Cricetulus griseus: one gene and its partners. The protein of the gene in region 4 interacts with the protein of the main gene of each other region in a pairwise test. Links are inferred from orthologs where the notes say so. Each region holds a gene or a part of one and is shown on either strand. Other genes may lie near its edges. The genes, in order: Lnx1, Wac, Txlna, Krt15, Amotl2, Nup54 and Mos.

Evidence for each region.
Region 1: the proteins of Krt15 (region 4) and Lnx1 interact in a two-hybrid assay, tested with the Homo sapiens proteins (3 studies listed by BioGRID and IntAct). The link is inferred for Cricetulus griseus from reciprocal best matches to the Homo sapiens genes KRT15 and LNX1.
Region 2: the proteins of Krt15 (region 4) and Wac interact in a two-hybrid assay, tested with the Homo sapiens proteins (4 studies listed by BioGRID and IntAct). The two-hybrid records come from large-scale screens. The link is inferred for Cricetulus griseus from reciprocal best matches to the Homo sapiens genes KRT15 and WAC.
Region 3: the proteins of Krt15 (region 4) and Txlna interact in binary tests that used the Homo sapiens proteins (3 or more experiments, as listed by UniProt). The two-hybrid records come from large-scale screens. The link is inferred for Cricetulus griseus from reciprocal best matches to the Homo sapiens genes KRT15 and TXLNA.
Region 5: the proteins of Krt15 (region 4) and Amotl2 interact in binary tests that used the Homo sapiens proteins (3 or more experiments, as listed by UniProt). The two-hybrid records come from large-scale screens. The link is inferred for Cricetulus griseus from reciprocal best matches to the Homo sapiens genes KRT15 and AMOTL2.
Region 6: the proteins of Krt15 (region 4) and Nup54 interact in binary tests that used the Homo sapiens proteins (3 or more experiments, as listed by UniProt). The two-hybrid records come from large-scale screens. The link is inferred for Cricetulus griseus from reciprocal best matches to the Homo sapiens genes KRT15 and NUP54.
Region 7: the proteins of Krt15 (region 4) and Mos interact in a two-hybrid assay, tested with the Homo sapiens proteins (2 studies listed by BioGRID and IntAct). The two-hybrid records come from large-scale screens. The link is inferred for Cricetulus griseus from reciprocal best matches to the Homo sapiens genes KRT15 and MOS.

Annotation. Positions count from the first base shown.
Region 1 is NW_023276807.1:141,117,660-141,121,159, forward strand, and holds part of Lnx1 (E3 ubiquitin-protein ligase LNX), read right to left. Parts: intron 2,175-3,500; coding exon 1,949-2,174; intron 1-1,948.
Region 2 is NC_048596.1:206,962,511-206,966,010, reverse strand, and holds part of Wac (WW domain-containing adapter protein with coiled-coil), read left to right. Parts: intron 1-940; coding exon 941-1,249; intron 1,250-1,959; exon of another isoform or gene 1,960-2,079; intron 2,080-3,500.
Region 3 is NC_048595.1:23,393,122-23,397,081, forward strand, and holds the start of Txlna (alpha-taxilin), read left to right. Parts: upstream 1-1,160; 5' UTR 1,161-1,278; exon of another isoform or gene 1,279-1,293; intron 1,294-1,827; 5' UTR 1,828-1,833; coding exon 1,834-1,999; intron 2,000-2,942; coding exon 2,943-3,281; intron 3,282-3,960. UniProt on the Homo sapiens protein: May be involved in intracellular vesicle traffic and potentially in calcium-dependent exocytosis in neuroendocrine cells.
Region 4 is NC_048600.1:112,452,083-112,456,297, reverse strand, and holds the start of Krt15 (keratin, type I cytoskeletal 15), read right to left. Parts: upstream 2,801-4,215; coding exon 2,312-2,800; intron 1,451-2,311; coding exon 1,368-1,450; intron 1,250-1,367; coding exon 1,093-1,249; intron 688-1,092; coding exon 526-687; intron 427-525; coding exon 301-426; intron 143-300; coding exon 1-142.
Region 5 is NC_048597.1:210,962,578-210,966,077, reverse strand, and holds part of Amotl2 (angiomotin-like protein 2), read right to left. Parts: coding exon 2,756-3,500; intron 1-2,755. UniProt on the Homo sapiens protein: Regulates the translocation of phosphorylated SRC to peripheral cell-matrix adhesion sites. Required for proper architecture of actin filaments.
Region 6 is NW_023276807.1:157,219,161-157,222,785, reverse strand, and holds the end of Nup54 (nucleoporin p54), read left to right. Parts: intron 1-584; coding exon 585-704; intron 705-985; coding exon 986-1,096; intron 1,097-2,374; coding exon 2,375-2,503; 3' UTR 2,504-3,125; downstream 3,126-3,625. UniProt on the Homo sapiens protein: Component of the nuclear pore complex, a complex required for the trafficking across the nuclear membrane.
Region 7 is NC_048595.1:156,239,046-156,241,756, reverse strand, and holds Mos (proto-oncogene serine/threonine-protein kinase mos), read right to left. Parts: upstream 1,536-2,711; coding exon 501-1,535; downstream 1-500.

The DNA of each region.
Region 1 (3,500 bases), on a different chromosome or scaffold from region 4:
CACCTAACCTGCCACCTGGCTTCACAGATGTACAGTTTGACCCATCCCTGGAGGCAGTGGACATTGGTGGTGCCCTGACTATCGTGATTCCCAAAATCAATTCTTAGGTTTCTTTGTAAGTTTTAAAAAGCTTTGTACCATATGAGCTCACAGGCCTCCATTGTGTTTGAGTGAGTACATTGCTATCTAAGCCATGGGCAGCCAAGCCCACAAGCTTTCATTCACAGATGGTCTATGGCTGCCTTTATGCTACAACAGCAGTGAGTGGTTGCCAAGGCCCCATACTCTCTAAGCACAAGCTCGCCAGCCTTTTGCAGAAAAGATCAACCTCTGACATAGTCTTTCCCTGAAAAAAATACTCAAGACGTTGGTAATGCTGGTGACCTCTGCTGAGTGACTTGAAGGTTCTGGAAAGGATGGATACTGACTTCCTGCTCCCTCTGCTCTGGTACCCTCTGACCTCCTCACCATGCCATTAAATATTGCAGGGAGGAGGAGGAAAGGAAGGATAGGAAGAGGCTCTGAGGTTCTGGAAGTCCCTATCTTCTTGTGTTGCCATCATATCACATTTCCTTTTACTCTTGGAGGGAATGAGTGCAGTTCAGACATTCCAGCAGGAGCAGAGAATTGCTGCCAATGCCAGGTGGCTCATGGGAAAAGTAAGGCGCCATGGGCTTGATGTTCTCCTTGCACATGTGAACAGTGAGGAGAATGGCAAAGTAGCTTTCAAACAAAAGGTACAAATGGGCTTGGGATTATAGTTCCAAAATCTCTTTTAAAGAAAAATTTAGGGCTGGAGATAAGACTTAACGGTTAATAGCACTGACTGATCTTTCAGAGGACCCAGGTTCAATTCCCAGCACCTACATGACATCTCATCACTGTCTTTAATCCCAGTTCCAGCAGACATGACACCCATGGCAAAACACCAATTCACATAGTATGTGTGTATTAATTTACTCAACATAATAGTCTCCTACTTAGGCTCAGTTGTAAAGTGTTTAAATTGCCTCAATGCTCAGTGTTCCACTTTCTAAGGACTTTTAAAGACTTACTGATTTTAAAAGTAATGAATCAACTAGTGGAGACTCAAATACAACGGGATCAAATTGTATGTGAAGCTACTAAGTAAGAGCTATCTCTACCTTCAAGAAAAAGTTTCAAAACCAAATACCCCACCTGCTTCCACTCTTTCATCCTACTCCAGTACATCCATCTTCAGTGACACCATTCTTAACATCTAAGCTACACCTTTACATCTAAAGGCCAGTAAAGTTTGCTCTGGTCCAGGGAAGCAAACATCAAATTTTTCTATCCTTTGAATGATCACAATTCATGTACATAGCCACTTTGTGGGGTTCTGTCCAAATCCTCATCTCAAGTCAGCGGGTCAGGTCATTTTATAGTTCATTGTAAGGCTCCAGTTGTACCTCAGTAAAATGACAACCCAGCTGCTTCCTAAAGAACTTTCCAGGAGAGTCACAGAAGAGAGATGTTCTGCGAAGAATCCTCAACTACCAGACACTTAACCTTGTTCTGCTCTACTTCTATATGTGTAGTCAGAGCCTCTAGAAACCTGAGTGAGGTTGCAGCTAGTACAGCTCCCAGTCATCTCCATGCAAGGATGAAAATGACTTGAGCAGAGCTCAGCTTGTGAGTGTAGACACAGGCTGAGTTTTTATCAGTCAGCTACACTCCCTGCTTTACAAGCCACCTTATAACTCTGCAAACGAGGAAAGCATCTAGAAGGTGCTCCATAGATTTTCACACACTCCCTAAGATATCTATTCGGACTTTCATTTGCCTACAGAAGATAGAATTTGTTCAAACAGCCCCACAAACAAGACTGGGTCATATTAGTAAGATGCTCGTGCCCATGAATCAGCCCAAGACGGTGAAAGAGTGGTTTAAGAAACATAATCTGTAGGGGTGTTAAATCAGGACTCACTGTGGTAATTCCAGCCACATGACCCAGGATGGGGACCAGTCACCAGGCGGGGTCACATTGTGGTTGGAGTCCAGGGCTGCTGGGCTGCAGTCTTCCTGGAGCTCCTGTTCCTTGACTTCCAAGGCTTTGAGTACCACTGAGGAGGATGTGCTCTTCAATATGGCAACGGCCTCTGTTCGGCTGACCTCTGTGAGCTCAATCCCGTTCACATTCAATAAAATGTCACCTGAGGCCAGAGAAGCAGAAGCATCCTCAGTGAGTGCAAATGGGATTCTGCTCCATGTGTGACAGGACAGAGGCTGAATGGGCATGTGGACAGAGTGAGGATCAGTATGTCTCTTGAACTCATAGTGACACAAGACTGGGTCTCAATTAGCACATAAGTAGAGCATGTGGGAATGTCTTGTTGGGAGTCTCTACACATTACTTACCAATGTTCACCTGTTCCCTTATATAAGCTAGTTTTGTTTGTTACTTAGCCAAAGACAACCTACAATTTCGCTCTTTTAATTTCCTGTTTTCTTTAGCACACAGTGAGAATGATTGACTAAGTCCTCCCATGCCTACACAGAGCCTGGTGTATGGGAGGCTACCAACATACGGAGACCAAAACAGGAGTTAGTGTCTGGCTCGGGAGACCAGAGCAGATCAAGAATAGGCCTGGACCTGAGCTTTCATGGAGATGGAAATCAGGTACCATTTGTAGTCACCGACTCTCTGTGCTGCACAGAGCCAGCAGTAGCTAAGTGCCCACTTTATGCAAAAATACTCCTGTATGTCACTTCTCTTCGCCCCTCATCATTCTTCACTCAGGTGCTTGCCGAATAGCAAGAGATATTAAAAGGTACCTTCCTCTCCTTGCTTTCTAATTCATTTATCTCTTGGTTCTTTTGAGGAGGTGTGTGCCTCTTATACATCATCTTTTTCATACAGAATAATTGTAGACAGGAGGAAAATGACAAAGGGTGGCCACAAAGCTTGCTGACTAGAAAAGAATGCTGTACCATGCCACCCCCAACTTCTAGATCAGCAGGCAGAGTGACTGTACTTGAGAAATTTTATTTTGTCTTAAATCTGAGCTCTTTAAAAGCACAATTCCTCTACCTAGGCAACCTCTTCATATGCTTGTACAGTGTTATTAACAGTGTTATTAACACATCCTTGCAGAGGTAAACTGCATACCTCCCTTCATGTAGAGAAGCCCAGAACAGGAGTGGATAGCAGAGGTCTACTTGCCAATGAGCAAGTCCCTCCGATGATATTTAATTATACCACTGAATCGGCATCTATCAACTAATTGAGTCCACAAAATGACACAATTCATAAATCAGTTTCATTACTGGCAAAGAACCAGTTAGAATGTGTGGAACTGGATTATGCCTTAGAAGTAACTTGGCTCATAGGTTCATTGATTGTCCATCCTGGAAAATCTAGGGACTCTAGCTTTCCCAGCAAAGCTGCCTCACACCCACTCACATGCACTAAGAGGGGTGAGCCTGGACTACAGCTGCAGACATGCTCATCCTAGTCAAAGAGGCACAACCATCACGGC
Region 2 (3,500 bases), on a different chromosome or scaffold from region 4:
CTTAGAACTTGAGAGTCTGTTCTTGATCTTAAGAGTTAGAAGAACTGTGGTTTAGGAAAAAACATACTCAACAGTGAGCATCCTTTATACAACTGTCGAGATAACGTCACTTCCTTTTATTCTTAGGGTATTTCTTGTTTTGGGTCTTTCTTTAGGACATTACAGTTTGTTTTTTTTTTTTTTTAAACAAATGATCTTTGTCCACATGAGTTAAAAATGTCCTCCTTTTTTATTTGTAAATGCACAATACCAGAATTTAAATTGTTGGCAGAGTTTGAATCATTTCCTGTGCTTCTGATGTAATTGCTGGTGATAAGCACATTTTTCTAATTATGCTTACATGTGCTGGACTTCTCTTTTAAGAATAGCATGTGAATGTGAAATATTATTTTACCCTCATTAGTGTTATGTATGGGATGAACAGTTGAGTATATTAAACCATCTTATATCATTGAAAGCCCTAGACTAAAACACTTTAGAGCCCACATTAGCTAGCAGCTTTAGTATTCAAAAAACTGAAATTAATGAAGCCAGTGTTCTTTTGTAATTGAACCACTGGGCAATTCTGTTAATTATTTGAATCTGTGATCCAAATTTTTAAAGAAATAGACATTTGCCTTTTTACTTTTGGAAGCATTTTTTTGAGTAAAATGTTATAACTATTTTTAGAATTTTTTAAAATACAATTTAATTTCAAAGAATACATTAAACAAGTTGAGTATAGATGATTATTTATAGTTGTTAAAACTCTTGCTGTATTGATAATTAATATCATTGTTAAAACTGCAGACACTAACTGGGCTTGCAGTTTTATGAAAAGGAACATAATTACAGTTATGTTGCTCAACTAGCTGATGTTCATGACACAGGATTCTAACAGCATCTGTTTTTCTTCCCCTTCTGTCATTCCAACATCTCTTTTGCGAACTGTGAACTACAGTGGAAGACAAGCATTCCAGCGATGCCAGTAGTTTGCTCCCACAGAATATTTTGTCTCAAACAAGCAGACACAATGACAAAGACTACAGACTGCCAAGAGCAGAGACTCACAGTAGCTCTACGCCAGTACAGCACCCCATCAAACCAGTGGTTCATCCAACCGCTACCCCAAGCACTGTTCCTTCCAGTCCATTTACGCTTCAATCTGATCACCAGCCAAAGAAATCATTTGATGCTAATGGAGCATCTACTTTATCAAAACTGCCTACACCCACAGCTTCTGTCCCTGCACAGAAAACAGAGAGAAAAGGTATGCTGTTACTACTAGAACTGTAGGTTGTAAAATATTTTTTCCTTCTGCTCAAATAGGACTCTTAATAATAAATTTTTAGTCTTTTAGAGTGTTACTAGGTAGATGTAGGTCTAAAATTAATGGTTTGGGTTTTTCTTTTAATTAATAATTCTCAGCACTCAACATTTTGTTTTTGGTCTTTGACACTAAATCCAACTATTTAGTTCATACTGCTTAGTAGTGGTTTTAATAACATGTCAAATTCATCTGGCACAGTGCATTATTGTTTAGATAAAATATTTTTCAGGTTTTGTGGCTATTAATAGTTTCGGACACTTATTCTTAAAGACATTTTAAAGCATGATTTTCCATATGAGGCAGAAAATAAATTGAATCAGACCTTCTATTAGATCTCAGATCTGACAACTGGAAGGAAATATTACAACTCAAACTGCATTCATATAGCTTATTATAATATCCTCAGCATGTTAAAAAGTTAAAGTTGTAGTAAGAGCTTCTTGGAGTTGGTAGACACCACAGGCATCTTCAAAAGTCCCCTTGCATAAGGCATTCATAACTCAAACTTGATAGGGTTTTCAATCTCGGAATTATAAGAGACTCCATAAAGAATCCCAATTACATCTATATTAGAAATTGCTGATTCACATCATGTTGATGTGTTGGTCTGTGGTAGTGTGCTATTTTTGTTTTGTTTTGTTTTGTTTTCCCACTGTGTGACTTCAGTGCCAGCAGCCTACAGTCACAGAGGTCAAGTAATGAGTTTGCTCTAGCATGAGACACTATGAGAGGCACAGGGTGACAAGCTTACCATAAATCCAAATCCCTGCATAGTGTGATGTATTAAATTATGTATGAGCAGGATCTTTGGTTTTCTGCCCTTCAGTGATGCTCTGTTCTTGGGCCTTGACAAACAGTAAGACATTTGTGGTTTGTTGTACAAGGTGGTGGGAGGGGACAACTGAAATAGTCGTAACAAATGTCTTAGCATTGGAAAAACACCTGCATTGGCTATTGTTTTTAAATGTACTTGAAATAAGGGAAGAGTGTATGCGTTGTGTTTCTAATTGAAAGTTCTCACAACGGGCGTAATTAATGGAGCTTGTTCTTCATTAACAGCAGCTTGTGTTTGCTTGAGGATCAGAAGTGTGAGAAAACATGAACCCCAGCAGTTTTGCAGGAAACAGTGTTGGTGTGAAACAGTGTCCTAATGTTTTATCTGTACCTGTTGAGGTGACTGTGAACATGTCTTGGTTAGCTTGTCTTATACAAACAAATAATAGACAAACATTAGATATATCAGAAATACAAACATGTTTTTATCAAGTAGAACCCAATGACCTTTTTTAACTGCTCTAATATCCCTTCTAGTTGTAAAGCCCTTTTTAGAGTTGTGATATCACAAAAAAAGCAATAGATGTGAGTTCTTGTACTTTATTCTGGTCAAGGAAGCACATGTTTAAAAAAATTAATTAGGAAGTTTTTCATTTAGTAATTTAAAGGTGTTCCTGCGTATTTTGCTAACACAGAGCAGCTATGGAAGCAGAGCTGCTCAAAGATTTCATGCAATCTGTAAGCACATCTAAATCACATAGCTAACAATCTGGTTCATAGATAGCTATTAATATGCAGGTTAACAATTCTTAGTCTAAAATTCCTTATCCTGTTTTATGGAATCCCCAGACTAAGTAAAATATGACGGAGCCCTAGACTTGTTTAGGTAGTGATGGCCTTTTGTTGCTGACATAAAATGAACATTAACTGGCTAAAGTGGACCAACCCAAACATCCTGTCTCTTGTTTTAAAATATCTTTAAGGGTACTAAATATCTTCATAAAAAAGGAGATCTCTGAGATCGAGACCAGGATAGTCTCCAAAAAAATAAACAAATGAACAAATAAATAAATAGATGAATTTTTTAAAAAACGAGAGATTGATTTAGGAAAAGAGAGAAATAATTGTTGAATATAAGCTTGTCAATGTGCTAAAGTATTTTTTGTAATCAATTTCAATTTGGCCAACTTAAATTGTTTGCATAGTTTCAAAGTATGCTTAACTTCTACATTTTTGGTGGCATTTTTAAAAGTTTAACAGAAACAACCTTGTAAAAAGAATACTCAAAATAATTGCTTATAATGTAAGCATGGAATATACCAAAAGTGCTTGTTTACCTCTTTATAAGTTGGTATATTTCACTGTATTAGACATTTAATAAAATTCTGTTGACAGATGAAAAAAACCAAGATTGGGA
Region 3 (3,960 bases), on a different chromosome or scaffold from region 4:
GAGAGCTACTGCCAAGCTGGTGATGACAGAGGTGTCCAGTACACTGCCTCAGAGAAAGCCTGTGACGGCGATTATTTCTTCTGGGAAGAAAGTGGTTAAGATGGGTGCTGGTGTCAGGCTTCTGGCTTTGAATCTGCTATTACCACTCAATATTGATGCAGCCTTAGATTATATAACCTTTAGCTGGGCATGGTCGCCTTTGTCTTTAGTTCAAGACCAGTTTGATCCTCATAGGGAGCTCCAGGTCAGCCAAGGCTACACATAAGGAAACATTGTCTCCAACAGACAGCAAGCAATTAAAAAAGCCATCTCGCCTTTTCCATACTGTCCTATATTTCCTAGATCACAAAGTATCCTGTACTTTCTCCGAGTAATTATGAGGGCCAAGCTATTAGATACAAGAAGAGAAGACAGGGGCTAGAGAGATAGCTCAGAGGTTAAGAGCTCTTCCAAAGGTGCTGAGTTCAATTCCCAGCACCCACATGGTGGCTCACAACCATCTGCTATGAGATCTGGTGCCCTCTTCTCATGTGTAGATATACATGGAAGCAGAATGTTGTATACATAATAAATAAATAAAATCTTAAAAAAAAAAAAAGAATAAGAGAAGACAGTGACGCCGGGCTTTGGTGGCGCACGTCTTTAATCCCAGCACTTGGGAGGCAGAGGCAGGAGAGTTCGAAGCCAGCCTGGTCTCCAGGATGTGCCAGGATAGGCTCCAAAGCTACACAGAGAAACCCTGTCTCCAAAAACAAAACAAAAACAAAACCCCTCTGTTGGAATGGGGGGGGGGATAGAATGCCAGGCACATGACAAATTACTGGTTTAGGAGTGGAACAAAGGTCTCCTAATTCCCAGCTCAGCCTTCTATCCCTCTTCGAGTCCTCAGAGGTCCTAGAAACAGTCATACACGTCCACAGGGATCAATGGAGAAGCGTATGAAACAAACAGCCAAGCGCCAATCACAGCTTCTGCACTCGAAAGGATACTGACGGGAATCTCTAGACTGTACTGCAGAATTTCAGACCTGCAGCGGGTAGAGACCCTAAAAAGGGAGGCATCTCGGGAATTGTGCCCCGCCGCAATGCATGAAGGGACTCGTAGTTCGTTCCCGCTCACGACTCCAAAGCCACCTTGGCCTCGTCTTTCCCAGCAAGCTCCGCGCCAGCGTTAGCTCTTCATTGGCTGCGGCAGGAGCGGGCGGTCCTGCTGGCAGCGGTTACCCGGGTTTCCGGTGCCCGGCCAGAGCGGGGGACGCCATCGGACGTCCGTGGTGAGGTACGTCTGTTGGCGGTAGGTGGGACGAGCTCTTCTGAGGGTCTGTGGCCCAGCTTGCGTTGGCTGCAGAGGAATAACTAATTCCGTGCGGGGGTCTGTGGCGATGTCGCCGCCTTGCGCATGCGTCCGTGGGGCTAGAGGGCGCGCGGGGTGTGGGTGGCTTCCGCGCGGGCTGGCGGGCGGGCGGGCGCGCGCGCCCGGGGGTCCCACGTGGGGCCGGGCCGGGGGCCGGTGGGGGCTGGAGCGTCCCGCCACGTCATCGTGCGGCGGGGAGCCAATCCCGCGCTCGCGTTCCGAGAGGGAGCGGAGTGGTGCTGCTGGGAAGTGGCTTTCGGGAGAAAGGAGGCCTCTTCTTCACTCTCCTCAGGGCCAGCTCCTCCGACACCCTCCCTGCAGGGACCCTCGAGTCTCCGCCAAGGCCGGCCAGTTTGTTTGAAGCTTGGAGCGCCTGGCGTTGGGATTTCTGATCTAGGTTGTGAAATTTTTTGAAGTCTTGAAAATAGCAACTGTGTCGTCTTCAAAGGATCTACCCGTTTTCTGCCTTTGCAGATCACAATGAAGAACCAAGACAAAAAGAATGGGCCTGCCAAACACTCCAACCCGAAGAGCAGCCCCGGGCAACGGGAAGCGGCACCAGAGGGAGCCCAGGGACGGCCCAGACAGACAGCTCCTGCGGCGGAGGCTGAAGGTTCCACAAACCAGGCTCCTGGGAAGACCGAGGGTGTGTGCCTGCTCTGCTTTTCCAGTGGGCAGAGGGAGGAGTTTCTGGGACTGGCCTCGGTGCTGAGGCCAGTGTTTACCCAGGAAGGAGGAACTATGGAATGAAACAATACCCATTCTGTGTGGGTCTCGTGTTTCCCAGGCAGGTGATGAAGCTTCCCTCCCTTAGCCCTGGAATGGAACCTTGGGAGCATGCTCTGACTGGTTTAAATTAAATGACAACTGAGGCACCCCACAAACAAAGTCATGTTCCCAGAAAACACTTGCCAGTGTGTGGGGGGGGGGTAATTGTCCTTCATACTTGAGACATTTCTGGAACTATAAAAATAACCAAAAATGCGTTTTGAGTAGGAAAAAAAGGAATTAGAGGTGGAGTCTCTACTACATGCCACCCAACCCTGGTGTGGTGCTTTATCTACATAGTTGTCTTTTTTGTTTGGTTGTTTGGTTTTGTGTTTTTGAGACAGGGTTTCTCTGTGTAGCCCTGGCTGCCCTGGAACTCTGTAGACCAGGCTGGACTTGAACTCACAGAGATCCACCTGCCTCTGCTTCCCAAGTGCTGGGATCAAAGGCTAGCACTATTACTTCCCAGCCATAATTGTCTTTTATGGTCATAAGAAGTATGTTTGGGTGATAATAATTGTATCATTTTATAACAAAGTAAACTTAAGGTTTGAAAAAATTAAACTGAGGCTCGGCGTAGTGGCCCTCTCTTTTAGTCCTAGCTCTTGGGAGGCAGAGGCAGGTAGCTCTCTGACTTTGAGGGCAGCCTGGTCTACATAGTTCCGGGACAGTCAGGGCTCTGTAGAGAGATCGTGTCTCAACCAAATAAAACAACATTTATCCCAAACTAGTGTATTTGTCTAGGGTTAAAGAAAAAGAAAGTTCAAGCCAGGGATGTAACCATCTTATTTTCATTCTGTGTCCTAATCTTGTTGCTGTAGGGGCTCAAGCTAAAGCAGCCAAGTCTGGGCCCCTGTGTGATGTGTCTGAGGAGCTGAGCCGGCAGCTGGAAGACATTCTGAGTACATACTGTGTAGACAACAATCAGGGAGGCCCAGGCGAGGAGGGAGCACAGGGTGAGCCTACTGAGCCGGAAGATGCAGAGAAGTCCCGAACCTATGCAGCAAGGAATGGGGAGCCTGAACCAGGGATTCCAGTCATCAATGGCGAGAAGGAAACCTCCAAGGGGGAGCCAGGCTCAGAAGAGGTCCGAGCAAGTGATGAGGTTGGAGACCGAGACCACCGAAGGCCACAAGAAAAGAAGAAAGCCAAGGGTCTGGGTGAGAGGGCAGCTACTGGTGAGGGGAGGGAGTTAAGACCTGTCATTTCATGAGCTAGCCTGCTCTGTCAGAACTCAAAGGAATCTGCTTCTCAAAACAGAACATCCCCCAGTTTAGTCAAAGCCATGACTGTGGAGTAACAGCATTGAGCTGTTCAGATTGCTCACCTGGGCAAGGCCTCTTGTCCTTGGAAGCAAGTGAAGGCAACCTGCTCTTTTCCTGTGGACATGTTCATGCTCCACTCCTGGGTCTTAGTTTCCCTATTTAGAAAGCAACAAAATTGGGCTACACCAAGGTAAAGATCTCAAATGTCAACATTAACCAGGTAAACCATGAACCTCTTGAGAATGAAGAGAGGGTCTACTTTATCCAAAAAATTAACTTCTACCTGTTTAGTTCCCTGCCTTCCCCCCCTCCACCCCCCCCAGGGTTTCTCTGTGTAGCTTTGGAGCCTATCCTGGCACTCGCTCGGGAGACCAAGCTGGCCTCGAACTCACAGAGATCCACCTGCTTCTGCCTCCCGAGTGCTGGGATTAAAGGCGTGCGCCACCAATGCCCGGCTGAGTTCCTTGCTTTCTTTTCTTTTTTCTTTATTTTTAAATTTATTTACTTATTACATATACAGTATTCTGTCTGCATATTTGCCTGCATATCAGAAGAGGGCACCAGATCTCATTTA
Region 4 (4,215 bases):
TATATTCCTGGTTCTGAGCTTCCATCTCACAGCGGAGCTCGCTCAGCTGGCTCTCCAGGCTGCTAATAAGCCCCTGGATCTGCTGCAGCTGTGTGGCATAGCGGCACTCCACCTCTGCCAGAGAGTTCTCCAGCCCGGCTTTCTGGTGGGGTGACAGATGCATAAACCCATTGGGCTAGAAGGCAACCCACTGGAGGGAGAAGAGCAGGAAGGGTGGTAAGGACTGCCTGAGGTGACAGGAATGTGTGAGGTGAGGCTTTACTGGCCATGTGTCACCCAGTAGGGAGAGAGTGACCGTACCATGCTGAGCTGGGACTGCAGCTCGATCTCCAGCCCCTGCATGGTGCGCCTCAGGTCTGTGATCTCCGTCTTGCTGGACTGGATCATTTCTGTGTTGGAAGCTACCTCCTTGTTCAGCTCTTCCGTCTGCAAGTCACACATGAGAAACATGAGCCTCATGGGCCTCCTCAGAGGCCTCTGGAGTGGGAAGGAGGGAGAGAGCAGAGCTGGGGGTGTCAGGCCCACCTTACTGAAGAACCAGGCCTCTGCATCCCGACGGTTTTTCTCCGCAATGGCCTCATATTGTTCCCTCATCTCGGCCAGCATGCGGGTCAAGTCCACCCCAGGTGCAGCGTCCATCTCCACATTGACCTGGCCCGCCAGCTGACTGCTGAACTCTTTCATCTCCTGCAAGGGGTGGGAGTGACAACCATTTAGAGACAAGGCTATAAAGCAGACAAAGAATCGAGAGTCCTGAGGGCTAACTCTGACTGTCTCTAACTCACAATGTGACCTTAGCACATCACACCACCCTATCTCTATTCCCCATTGGAACACATGGACCCCTCAGTTCTGAGGATCTCTCTTGCTCTGGGTCCTAAGAAACAAGGACCTTGAGATAATAAGCCCATGAAGCAAACCAATTCTGCAGTTCACACATGGCTTGGCCTTGGGTCCAGATTACCAGAGATTAGTGCCCCTTCTCTTCCATGGGGCCCCCCAGGTACATTTCTTAATCCCCAAGCCCTCAGAGGACTGTGACAAAAGACTGGCTGTCCTGGGCTTCTTCCTACCACCCTGTCTTGCTGTTACCTCCTCGTGATTCTTCTTCAGGTAGGCCAGCTCCTCATTCAAGTGCTCAATCTGCATCTCCAGGTCGGTCCTGGCCAGGGTCAGCTCGTCTAGCACCCTGCGCAGCCCGTTGATGTCGGCCTCCACACTCTGGCGCAGGGCCAGCTCGTTCTCATACCTGGGGAGGGGAGAGGAGCCAAAGTCAGGAAAGGTGAGGGGCCCAGGTTCTGAGTCATAGAGGAGGAAGGCTAGGTAGAGGGGGTGAAATGGACAGGGGTGGAGAAATGGGAACACACTTGAGCCTGAAGTCATCCGCTGCCAGCCTGGCATTGTCAATCTCCAAGATGACACGCGAGTTGTCAATGGTGGCCGCCAGTATCTGCAGGAGACAGAGTTGTACCTTAGGGCTGCTGCACGACCCCCTTCGCCAACTACTGCCCAGCTTCTCTTCCTGTGTGCATCAGTTGTGCTGGCCCATGCTCCCTTCCCTGTGGCATCTTCAAGGAATGGAAAACTAACGAGGCAGTATTGCCTGGGATTGCCTGGGGGCATGGCTAGTCAAGACCGTGCTGCAATGGATACAGTTGGCTCTGTCAGGTCAGGACTCTCGGGAGACACACTATACCAGCCTACTTGGGCACAGCTCACAGTGGCTGCCTCCTGCGTGCCTTGACAGAGCCCTTCATCTCCAAAACATTGCAGTCATTGGGAACTTGGACAGCAGCTAAGGAACGTGTTTGCCACTAAGGAAAACAGATCCAGTTAGTTAAAAGGGAAAGTGAGGGGGTGGCACAGCCTCCACTGAGTTCCCTGGTCTCCTAAGATCTAGCAATGATCAACAATAAAGACATCCTTGAGGCCTGAAGTAAACAGCCCTGGCATTTAGGACTCTTGAGGTTGTGCCTGAACAGCACACGGGTCACAAAGTTAAAGCAATCAGTTGCAAAAATCCCTGAAAGTTTTTGTGAGGCAGGGAGAAGGAGCTGCTCTCTTTTGTTGCCCTCATTTGCAATCCTGTGTATCCAAATCAGATTCCCAAGACCACTCCCTCCCCTCCCCCAGCACTGCCAAGTGGAACACGTGTGTTCCCACATGTGCCTGGGAAGCAGGTGCATCCCAGCCTTGCCAGGTTACACAGCAGGGAAGGACTCTCTTAGTCAACAGCAATGTTGCTGTTGCATATGTGTACAGGGCACCTACTGCCTGTTTCCCTCTGTCTGACATATATATGAGGACTTACTTTGTCCCGGATCTCTTCCATGGTCTTAAAGTAATGGCTGTAGTCTCGCTCCGGACTGGCTGGGCTCTGCTTCTGGTACCAGTCTCGGATTTTCACCTCCAGCTCCGTGTTAGCCTGCTCCAGGGCACGTACTTTGTCCAGGTAGGAGGCCAGGCGGTCATTGAGGTTCTGCATGGTGATCTTCTCATTGCCAGAGAGGAGACCTCCATCGCCACCACCAAAGTCACCAAAGCCACCACCAAAACCCCCACCAAAGGCTCCACCAAAACCGCTACCAGCACCACCACCAAAACCACAACTCATACCGCCCCCATATCCCCCTCCTGCCCCCGAGGAGACGAACCTAGCAGAAGAAGCAGAGATGCTTCGGCTCCCACCTCCCCCGTAGAGACTCCCTCCACCAAAGCCGCCTCCACCAGCACGGAGGGAACCCCCTCGGGTAGAGCCACCTCCAAAGGTGGAAGAAGTTTGCAAGAATGTGGTGGCCATGGTCAGGCAGCCTGAGCCTTCGTGTCCTTTTCAAGCAGGAGGGACTCTAGCAGGAGCTTCTGAGCTGGGCTGAAACCAGGCTGCAGTGCTGTCGCCCCTAGCCTGGGATTCCTTATATACTGTTTCAAGGGGGTGGGGGCCTTGCCTCCTCCCCCTGAGTGGAGCCAACTCCTCTGCCTTCCAGACAAATACAGCTGCCTGCACACCTCCACAGGGCTCGCTTGTGGTGAGTTTTTCTTTTCTTTTTTTTTTTTCTTAATGCAACAAGAGAGATGATTCAGAATTAATGGGGTTTTGCTCTAGGCCATGGTTTTAACACTTGGATTACAGGTTCATTTCTCACTCCAGGAAGGAGAAGAGAGCCACAAGAGCAAACCCTCAGCATAGCACCCAAGTTCCCTCATGTCCCATCCCGTTAGAGCAGCCAGGCCAGCTCTGCCTCCCACCCCAGCCCACTGCTGGCATGTGAGCCTCACCCCAGGTAGAAAGCTTCCTGCTTTCAGTTTCTCCCACCACTGCTCTGTACTACCTACTCAAACGCCCTATACATAGCCTTCGGGACATGGAAGTCCCCGGGAATGAGAACACAGGTGACCACAGTGCAGGCTAATAGGGTCTCAAGTCAACTTCCAAACGAGTTGACCAAAAAAGCCGGTGCCTGTCCCTCTCTCCCATCCCTGATACCTGGGCATGCTCTCTCCTCTCACAGCCCTCCCACCACCCCAATTCCAGAAGTCCCTCCTACCTCTTCAGTTCCCCCCCCAGCCCAGGGTCCTGGCTAGTTCACAAAAGCCCAGAAGGCTCAGGCTGACAGGAGTCTGATTGATGGTCCTGTCACCAGCCAACTGCACATGTCACTGAACCTCTGCTTGCTCCCAAGACGCGTTGGGGCAAACCTCTGCAGATAAGACCCAGGCGAGTTCCAGAAAGTCCCCCGCCTTCTTCAGCAAGAGACATGTCGCTGCTTAGCAGGGGCCAGATTAACCCCCATTTGCCTTGTCAGCTGCTGCCAGCTGGGGAGGGGCTGAGCTAGAGGCTCTGCTCTGCGTGCCTAAGTACAGGGAGGAAGGCGGAGGCAGGAAGGGGGGCTGGCAAGCAGGTGGAACACATCAGAGCTCAGAGGCCAAGGAATCAGTCACTGCAATACTGAGGCCAAAAAGGACAGGGTCTTCTGCCACCAGCTCTAACAGCCCTATTTCTCTAAGACAATGGCACTGTGGGCAGTGCCACCCAGACTGGAGAGAATCCACAGGAGGGCTTCTAATGGAGAGCTACAATACGAGAAAGTGAATAGGGCTCCAGCGTTCCTTGGGCCTGTGTTTAAACCCCATTTCTATGAATGACTCCTGTGAAGATCTGTACTCGTCAGTTTTCAAGGCTCAGCCTCTTTGTGTATAGGACACTCACTTTATGGG
Region 5 (3,500 bases), on a different chromosome or scaffold from region 4:
CTGTGGCTAAGGTCTTAGGGATCAGCTCAAGCAACCCTGGGCATCCTAAATAAAGTATCTTTAAAAATGCCCTCTTAACCTTTCCAAATAACACAAGGGTTTTTTGTTTGTTTGTTTGTTTTTTTTTTTTTTTTTTTGTTTTGTTTTTTCGAGACAGGTTTTCTCTGTGTAGCTTTGGAGCCTATCCTGGCACTCGCTCTGTAGACCAGGCTGGCCTTGGACTCAGAGATCCGCCTGCCTCTGCCTCCCGAATGCTGGTATTAAAGGTGTGTGCCAACAACACCCAGCCTAACACACACACAAGGTTATTTTGGGATGGAATCCACACAGCTTTCCAGGCCTAGAAGCTGAACTCTGTTCAAATCAGCTAAAACAACTCACTTGAGTTTTCTCCTCTTTGTTTTCAGGGTCCTGCTAGGCTACCCACAGCTATGAAATTCTTTCCTGAGACCCCTGCTAAGATTAGAGCAGAGAGGCAGGTGCTGAGCCTGAGCTCAGCCTGACAAACTGGGGATTTCAGTCCCAGCTGCTGGGCCTTCAACAATGAGCACCTTGGCTGCCCAGTGTCATGTCACCTTTGTCTGACAAGTCACAAGAGTCCCTGGCCACAAAGGTGAGGCCTGACAGAATGGCCGGCAGACAACAAACTCCACAAAGGTTTAGCCCCTGGTCTCTGCTGGCGGGCACTTCCAAACAAGGGGCCACCTCTGGATTAGCTCAGCAGCAGAGCCCAGGGCAGTGTTCTACTGGCCCCTGGCATAGGTGTAACACATCCTTAGGTGTTGATTATCAAGAGAAGAACAAAGAGTGAGGGATGGGTATTCAGAGAGCCTTCCTGAGGCCATGCTACTCAAAGTGTCATGGCTGCTTGAGTTGTACTGAGAATTTTCTAAATCCTAGAAGACTCCTCAAAGTTGGATTTCGTTTCTGGGTCTATCACACCCCCCTCCCCCTCCCCCTTCTCAGGGCTCCCCTGTTCTTTACTCCTCATCTGGTCAGGAAATGCCTGCATGTGCTTTTTCCTACTGTCAGCTCCAAGAAGAGCAGGTTAGAGCACTGTCACTGGACTGACTAGACTCTCTTGTTGCTAAGTGTGATCACTCCCAGGGTGGCCTCAGAAAACTGTCGTGTGTTCCCCATCCCCCCACCCCCCCCAGACACAAAGACACAACTGGCATTCTTGGAGAATGATTTAGCTCCAAGAAGAATGGTGACTCCTTTCCTTTTACACTTGCTTTCCCTGCTCCTGGTTCTGCCATTTTCCTCTTCCCCTCTCCCCAGCTTTTTGTTCTCCTGCAAACAGTCCACTTCCTTGCCTGGATATTATCTTTTCCTGGCAGGGTTCAATAGGGCTGGTCTGAAAGAAGAACCTCTTCCTGAACTGCTCTGAGAAGGCAGATAAGGTGGGTGTCTAGGGGTGTGGAGGCAGAGTAAACCCATAAGGCTCCATCCCTGGTCCCTCCAGACAGGGGTCACCACTCTTTTCCAGAGTAAAGAATAACAGCTGGAGGGAGATGAGTGACTAAATGAAAACCCAGCAGGTGTGAAGTGAGCCAGACTTTGACCTTGAACCCAGAGGGTGTGCAAATTCCAGGTGGGGCCTCCTGGAACCCTACTTCAGCCCGCCTCCAAGGGGGCTGGATGGAGCATGGTGCCTGTTCTATGGAAAATGTGAAGGACCTTGGCGGGCTGTGCCACATGTGCCTTTAATCCCAGCACCTGGGAGACAGAGGCAGGCAGAACTGTTCGAGGCCAGCCTGGTCTACACAGAGAACTCTAGGATAGCCAGAGGTACACAGAGAAACCCTGTCTCAAAAACAATTAAAAAAAGAAAGGAAGGAAGCAAGAAAGGAAGGAAGGAAGGAGGAAAGAAGAAGATGCAGCTAAGATGACTAAGGTAGACTCTCATTTCTAGGAACCTGCACTCCTGCAATGATCTGGCTTCCTGCTTGCATTTACTGGGCTCCCAGTTTGCCACCCCGGCTCTTGTGACCCATTCTCTAAGGCTGGTATTGTTATGCAACTCTCTTTTAAAAGTCCATTATATGCCACCTGCAAGACTTCACATTCAGTCAAGCCAAGACCAGCAACATCCTGAGTCTTCACAAAAAATTAACTTAAAAAAAAAAGGCTCACCTAGGTCCAGAATCCTCAAGGTGACAAGTATAAGGAAAAACATAATAAGTAAATAGCTGGTAGATAAGGCAGCTGTGACAGAGGTGGCCTCTCTAGCAACACCTCCCAATGACAACAACAAAAAAGTCCATTATTTTTTTTCTTTAAAAACCCTCAGGAAGTCCCACCTTTGGCCTACTTAACTTGGAAACAGCTTGACATTGTCTTTTGTTAGTTCTTTCTAAAAAATTTCACCTTTAAACCCCATTCCCATCCCCTGGGAACCCTCCTTACTTGAATGCTATAGACAATGCTACCTATATTTTGAGTTAAAGCAATGATGTCAGTTTCTTTTTGTTTCAGAGGTCTCACTATGTCACCCAGGTCTGGCAGTCACCTTGGGATCCTCCTACCTCACCCAAGTGTGCTACCACAACTGGCAGCTAACATCACATCAACTAAGTAAAGTCAGCTAGTTAAGTCCCTCTAACCTCCAGCTCTCCCTTCTCAAGAGCAGACAGCCCCAGGAGCTGGTGTGGGTGCAGTGGGGCTGGGATCATGCCAGCTAGGATCCAAGGTATATGACCTTGGGGTTCTCCTGGGAGACTGGACTAGAAGAAATCCAGGGTTGGGTAGTCACCTGACTTCCGCATGCTGGAAGTGTGGGCTGCTTCGAGGACGGTATCTTGGGTCAGTGACAGCCGCAGTCTCATGAGCCAGTACAGCGTGTGGGTACTGAGGTGGGGGTCCACGGGGCTCTGGGCCCTCAGATGGCAGTCCTCGGGGTTGAGCACCCTGCTGGTTACGGGCCAGCTGAGGGAAGCTGTGTGAAGAGCTCATGTGGTTGGGGACTCGAGCACCATTTCTTTCCAGGGACAACTGCAGAAGTCGTTCACTCAAGGAGCGTACATGGCCATGCCTCAGCTCCCGCAGGGCCTCATCCTGTCGTCGGCTGCCTCCTGATGCCCCTCTAGGATCTCGGTCCCCAACATGTGGCCGGGGTCCTGCCTGCTGCGCCGCGTAGTACTGTGAGTGGGCTTTGGCCTCCTCATAGGTGGGCAGCTCTTCTCCCTTGCTGGGCTGTGGGCACAGCCGGTACAGCCTGTTCTCTGCCAGGTGGGTCTCTCCACCTTGATGCTCCTGGCCCTGGGGCTCCTGCCTGGTGGCCTGCTGTAGCACCTGAGTGTCCTCAGGCGGTCCGATTTCCAGGGAGGCCTGGGGGCTCCCTGTGCCCCCAGCTCCAGCCCCACCCCTCAGGGCCTGTTGCTGGATGGCCAGTAGTGTGCGGGTCTCTGTCAGATTGCCATAGCGGAGCTGCTCCTGAATGAGACGGTGCAGGACTGTCCCTGAGGAGTCTTCCAGTGTCCTCATGCTTCTCTGGCTTG
Region 6 (3,625 bases), on a different chromosome or scaffold from region 4:
TCTACAGAGAGAGTTCCAAAACAACCTCCAAAGCAATACAGAGAAACCCTGTCTTGAAAAAAAAAGGGGGGGGGCTGGAGAGATGGCTCAGAGGTTAAGAGCACCGACTGCTCTTCCAGAGGTCCTGAGTTCAATTCCCAGCAACCACATGGTGGATCACAACCATCTGTTATGAGATGTGGTGCCCTCTTCTGGTGTGCAGATATACATGGAAGCAGAATGTTGTATACATAATAAATAAAATCTAAAAAAAGAAAGAAAGAAAGGAAATCTAATTGGATATAAAAGCGCTTCAGAGTAAAAATATAAAGGATTTGGATTTTTTGCCCCCCTTTTTTAATGTTTTTGGTTTTTACTGTTTATTTGAGGCAGGGTCTCAGCTATGCAGCCTAGACTTGTCCTAGAACTCTCCTTGTTCCTCAGGCCAGCCTCAGACTTGTCCTCATGTCTTAGCCTCCCAAGTACTAGGATTTCAAAGCACCCCCCCCCCCCAACATATTAATTCTCAGCTAGTTTTTGCCAGCAAGTCCATAATTGTTCGTAAAAAGTATTCTACTGGCTGGTACTGATCTTGTCTTTTACAGGTCCTAATCAAACAGGAGATTCAAAGGAAGAGCGGCTACGCCATCCAGGCTGACGAAGAGCAACTGCGGGTTCAGCTGGACACTATCCAGGGGGAACTAAATGCACCTACTCAGTTCAAAGTAAGCACTTGGAAGCCTATCTGGCTCGAGGCTGTTTGAGGTAGAGCTGAATAGGGATAAGTAGTCATCACACAGAAACCTGTAATGTTGTGTGTCTTAAGCATTTGTTTCCACTAATTAAACTTTCTAAAAGAAATTCTCAGTCATGGTACTTTTGGCTTGCATTAGTGCTTCAAGACCCGGGAGTTTTAACTGATGGTTTCAAGGCTATCTTATCAAAAACAGCCACCGTCTTTAGGAGTTGCTGTGATTGTTAGCGCTTGTTTCTAACTCATTTTTAGGGTCGACTAAATGAACTGATGTCCCAGATCCGGATGCAGAATCACTTTGGAGCTGTGAAATCTGAAGAAAGGTATTACATAGATGCAGACCTGTTACGGGAGATCAAGCAGGTGAGTGTTAGCTTACAACTACATATCTGTCAGGGTGGCTGCTGTTCAACAACAGAGTTACTCACCCATTAGAATGTGGAGAAATTGTAACCTCAATTTCTCCTCAAATTGGCACCTTTAAGTAACATGAAATATAAAAAAAAAACATCAGTAGTGGCACCAGCATTTAATCCCAGTACTTGGGAGACGGAGACAGGTGGAGCTCTATGAATTCGAGGCCAGCTTGGTCTAGATAGCTAGTTCCAGGACAGCTAGGGCTACAGAGAAACCCTGTCTCAAACAAACAAACAAAAAGCTAAATAAAAAGTAGAATTAACATCTCATCTGGCAGTTCTCCATCTGTTTGTTTTTGACAGACAAGGTCTCAGTATGTAACCCTGGTTGGTCTTAACTAAGGGATCTGTCTGCCTCTGCCACTTGAGTGCTTAGATTCAAGGTATTACCACCACGCCCAGCCAGTTCTATTTCTGGATATATGTACCCCAGGAAGTTGAAAGCAGGGATCTGCACAAACTTTTATATACCTGTGTACATACACATATAGTGGAGTATTACTCCTAAAGAGGAGGAAATTCTGACACATGCCACAACATGGATAGACCTTGAAATATGTGGTCATACAAAGACAAATGTATGATTCCCCCTCTGTGAAGCAGAGTAACCCATGACCAACTTTGATGTGAACATACACAACATCCCTGTACACATAAAATGGTCCACATGTTATGGCACAGTAAAGAGCCAAATGTATCAACCTCCCCCTACCCCCCCCCCCCGATATTATTTAGATAGTAGAAGTGTCAAAGGGTAGGCAATAGCAGTACTCAGGTCAGCGGGGAGGTAAATCTCAGGCTTCCTCCAAATCCTCTCGCTGCATTTTATCTAGAATGATCTGTATGTATATCAAATTGAGAAGCTGGGATCAGGGATGTAGCTCAGTTAGTAGAGTGCTTGCCTACTGTGTCTGGAGCCCTGGCTCCAATCCCCAGCACCATGGAAACTGTGATAGTGCATACCCACAGTCACAGACAGCATTTGGGAGGCAGGAGCATTGGTTCAAGGCCCTAAAAATACAGAAAACACATTTTAAAGATATTGTCGATGAATGCTTGTCTGGGTTTCCCTGGTTTTAGAGTGTCTTGTACTGATGATAGTTGTCTCACTGTGCATGCTTGTTGTGTTTAGTCAATGAGTGCTGTATTGTAAGTACTTAATGGATAGCTTTCAGTTTAACAGAACAGTACACTCACGTTTTATTTTCTTCCAAATTCATTCTAGCATTTGAAACAACAACAGGAAGGCCTCAGCCACCTGATTAGCATCATAAAAGATGACCTAGAAGATATAAAACTGGTAGAACATGGATTGAATGAAACCATCCATACTAGAGGCGGTGTCTTTTGCTGACCATTTACAGACTCTGTCAGAGGTTCATAAAGTCATCTTGCTACTTCAGGCCTTACGATGACCACGTGGATGGGAAAAAGTCCTTTCCTCATTGGCGGGTTTGAGGTTCCTGAGAAACTACTGGACATTAAATCTGAAATGGACACCACAAAGCTCTTCAAAGAGAATCTGAAAATTTATACCTAAAAGTATACTTAAGAAAAAACTACACAATTATCCAAAGTATATGCACTGCTGTACATTTTACAGCAGCATTAAGCATAGACAGTGTTTAATGGTTATTCTCCATTCTTTTTCCATAGCACAAAATCCTAACAAAATAAACTGTAATTATGTGGCTGTTGACTATGCTTCAGAGTGTGAATGTATTTCAGCTTTTATATCTGTGAGGTCATCAGTGGAGAGTAAAAAAAATCCTAAAGTATTTAATGATTTGTGTGGTTTTCCTTTTGTTCTATGAAGACGTGAAGATATATTTTTATATTATTTTACTTATTTGGAACTGACAGAACATGCCTAACCAATTAGGATTTAGCAAAATCACTGTTTTGGCAAACTTTTTTCTTAACTTTTTATTTCTAAACATGAAATCTATAAAATAAATTGTTAATTTGCAATTTTATGTAATTCTTTCCTCTGGTGTTTTATTTAAGGACTTATCAGTATTGACATGTTTTGACTAGAATATAACAAATGGAATCATCTAGGATGAAGAGGTCCCTCATAAATTAGCATCTGAAAACAGTGATTGAATACTACATAATCTGATTCTTCTATAGACCACCGTTTTTGAATACAACTTCAGACTGCAGGACAGACCTGGGCCGCAGCTTGTTGACACCTCTCCAAATGCTGTAACTATGCTTCACTCCTGTGTGGTGCTTTGGCTTACATTGGGGGATGTTATGAGAGAGAACACTGTGAATCTTGCTGTTGTACTAACGTGTGGTGATGGGAAAGCGCCATGTCTAGAATCCTACTGAAGCAGAGGTTACACTGTAAAGACGAGAGACTAAAACTTTCCAGTTTGGCTGCAACAATTTTGTAGTTGTTGATGCTGGGTGTGGAACATACAAACATAACACCACTCTCCCATTTTTTTTTTCTTCTGTCTTAATTTCA
Region 7 (2,711 bases), on a different chromosome or scaffold from region 4:
CCATGGCTCAGGATCATATTCACTATGGACTTTTCCAGATGTCCCTGCCTCTGACTATGTCTCCCTTTTATCTACAATAAACTTTCTCTTTCACCACACCTATTAGTAGTCATGTCATTTCCTTCTTTCCTTCTTTCCTTCTTTCTTTCCTCCCTTCCTCCCTCCCTCCCTCCCTCCTTTCCTTACTCTCCCCTCCCTTTCTCTTCTGTTTTCCACTCAGTAACAAATCCAACTAACAGCAATATTGTGGAGATGATACAGTCGGTCAGGAGCCCAGAAAGGGGACAGAGAACTATAAAGGGGGTCAGGTTTGTTACCAGCAGTGATGCTCATGAAATCTGTAGCCTCCTTATTCTCAGGAAAAAAAAAAAAAAAACCCTTCAGATTGAAGTTTTCAGTAACTTTATTTTCTAAAATTATGTCCTAGGGGTATGTTTTCTTCCACACCACCCTTACTTCTTTAAAAATAATCAGAAACAAAAAGCACAGGCTGGATGGAGTCAGCCCAATGCTGCTCGCAAAGCGTTCAGGTCCCTCAAGAGCAGTTCTGCACCCGGCCTCTGCAGGGCGCGGGCCTCCCAGCAGCTCCGGAGGATGCTCTGCAACTTCCGCCCCGTCGGTGAGGAGGTGAACACTGCCCCCGCCAGGGACGGTCGCAGATTGTAGGCCACCACAGCGTACTGCACCTGCTGAGGCTCGCCTGAGTATGGCACCTCCCTGGTGGTCATCTGCCAGAGGGTGATGCCGAAAGAGTAGATGTCGGCTTTGCGCGTGGCGGTCTCTCCTTTCAGGAGCTCCGGAGCTTGGTGCGTGTAGGTGCCACCTATGTGGTGAGGGGGCGTCTGGCTGCACCACAGATCTTGCAGCTTTTGGGAGCAGCCGAAATCACTGATCTTACAGACGTCCTGCTCATTGATCAAAATGTTCGCTGGCTTCAGGTCCAAGTGCAAAATGCTTTGTGAGTGGAGGAAAAGCAGGCCATTAACAATATCTAGGGAATACTTAAGGCACTTCCCCAAACTCAGTTGTTCTCGGCTGCAGCTTAGAGGCCCTGGAGAGCGGGTGGCACCATAGATGACTTGGTGTAGAGTCACATTGCCCCCAAACTCCATGATTATGGTACCCAGGCTGTTAGAGCCCTTGGGCGTATGCGTGCTGGCAGCCACAACCCGGACTATGTTGTCATGGCGCAGTCTTGCAATGTTGAGTTCAGCCCAGAAACTCCGCTGGGATGCACGTAGGTTCTTGGTGCACTTGTTCACTTGCTTTATGGCCACAGGAACACCGTGGTAAGTGGCTTTGTACACCGAACCAAACCCTCCAGAACCCAGCCTATGCAGCAGGCATACCTGTTCCCAGTCGATGGAACACCAGGCCAGCCGGCGTGGCAGCCGCGGGGCCCGAGGAGGAGTGGCTCCCAGGAAGAGCTTCCCGGCCTTCCCCGGAGCCACCAAGGGGCTACTGCAGGGTCGCAAGTCCAACGACGGTGACAACTCACCAGGGAGGTAGCGACATAGGGCTAGAGGCGATGGCATCACACCTTCAGGTAGGAAAGGCACCAGGGGCACTAGGTAGAAATGACTAGGAACAACCCTGGGGAGTCTGGAAGCATGGTTGAAGATTCCTGATTTCACCCTAGCCCCTTTCCCTCCTTCCTTGTATTCTCAAAACGAGCTACATCTGTGCTATCACTCAGCAAGATGGGGGTGGGGTGCAGACGAAGCATGGCTAAAGTAAATCCTTAGTAAAACGACCTCTCACGGGTTAAATAGCACTGGCCTGCCTCAGGGCTCACCTCTCCTTTAAACTATTTCTTTAATCATAATACAACGAAAACGATTTTCAAGTAGCATCTGATGAGCATTAATCGGTCTTTAGACTGAAGAAGGAAAAAAAGCACAGTGAACTTGTGCACTTTTCAGGCTATAATGATTGTTAGTGCTAGTCCTCCTCAGCTGCGTTAAATCACTCCAAGCAGCTATTGGATGCAAGAGTTGCAATACAAATAGCAGGCATTTGTCGAACCACTTGCCAAGATTATTAGGTGCAACCTTCATAAGAATTAAAAATTGTAACTTTAATGTCATTAATCAAAATAGAATCAGTGATACAAAACATGCACACCTCCTAAGTTCATCAGAAGGGGGATTCTGATGGATTTGATTTCTACAGCAAGAAGACTTCTTAGCAACACCCCGACTTCCTACCAGTCCTTCCTTTCCAGGCAAGTCAGGTCACCCAGATTCTAGACCACAGCCAACAAGTTACTGGAACTTAACACAGACTTGGAGGGAGAGAAAAAGGAACAAAGTGAGTGTGATGGCCATAGCTGTAAATAAGCACAGGAAAACCAGGAGGAACAGACATGGCACAGAATCACTGGAATCCTTCTATAGTACAGAAAAGCAGGCACTAAACATAAATTCAGGGCCTGGCCACCAAACCAGACTCATCATTTCCAATTTTCATAATACAGTGCTCATTTTCATGCCATATCTTTGGGGGAAAAGAAGAGAGCAACAATCTTACTCTGTCATTTAAACAGTCCCTGAAAGTGCTCAGGAGCTACACTTTTCAGCACTTGGTAAAGCTTTTTTTTTTTTTTTTTCTTTTTTGCTTACATGTGATAAGTGACCACTTTTTATGTGACAGCTATGTGCTTCTGATTTTAGAACTACAGGTTTTGAGAAGGCAAGTTAATAAAGAGAGCC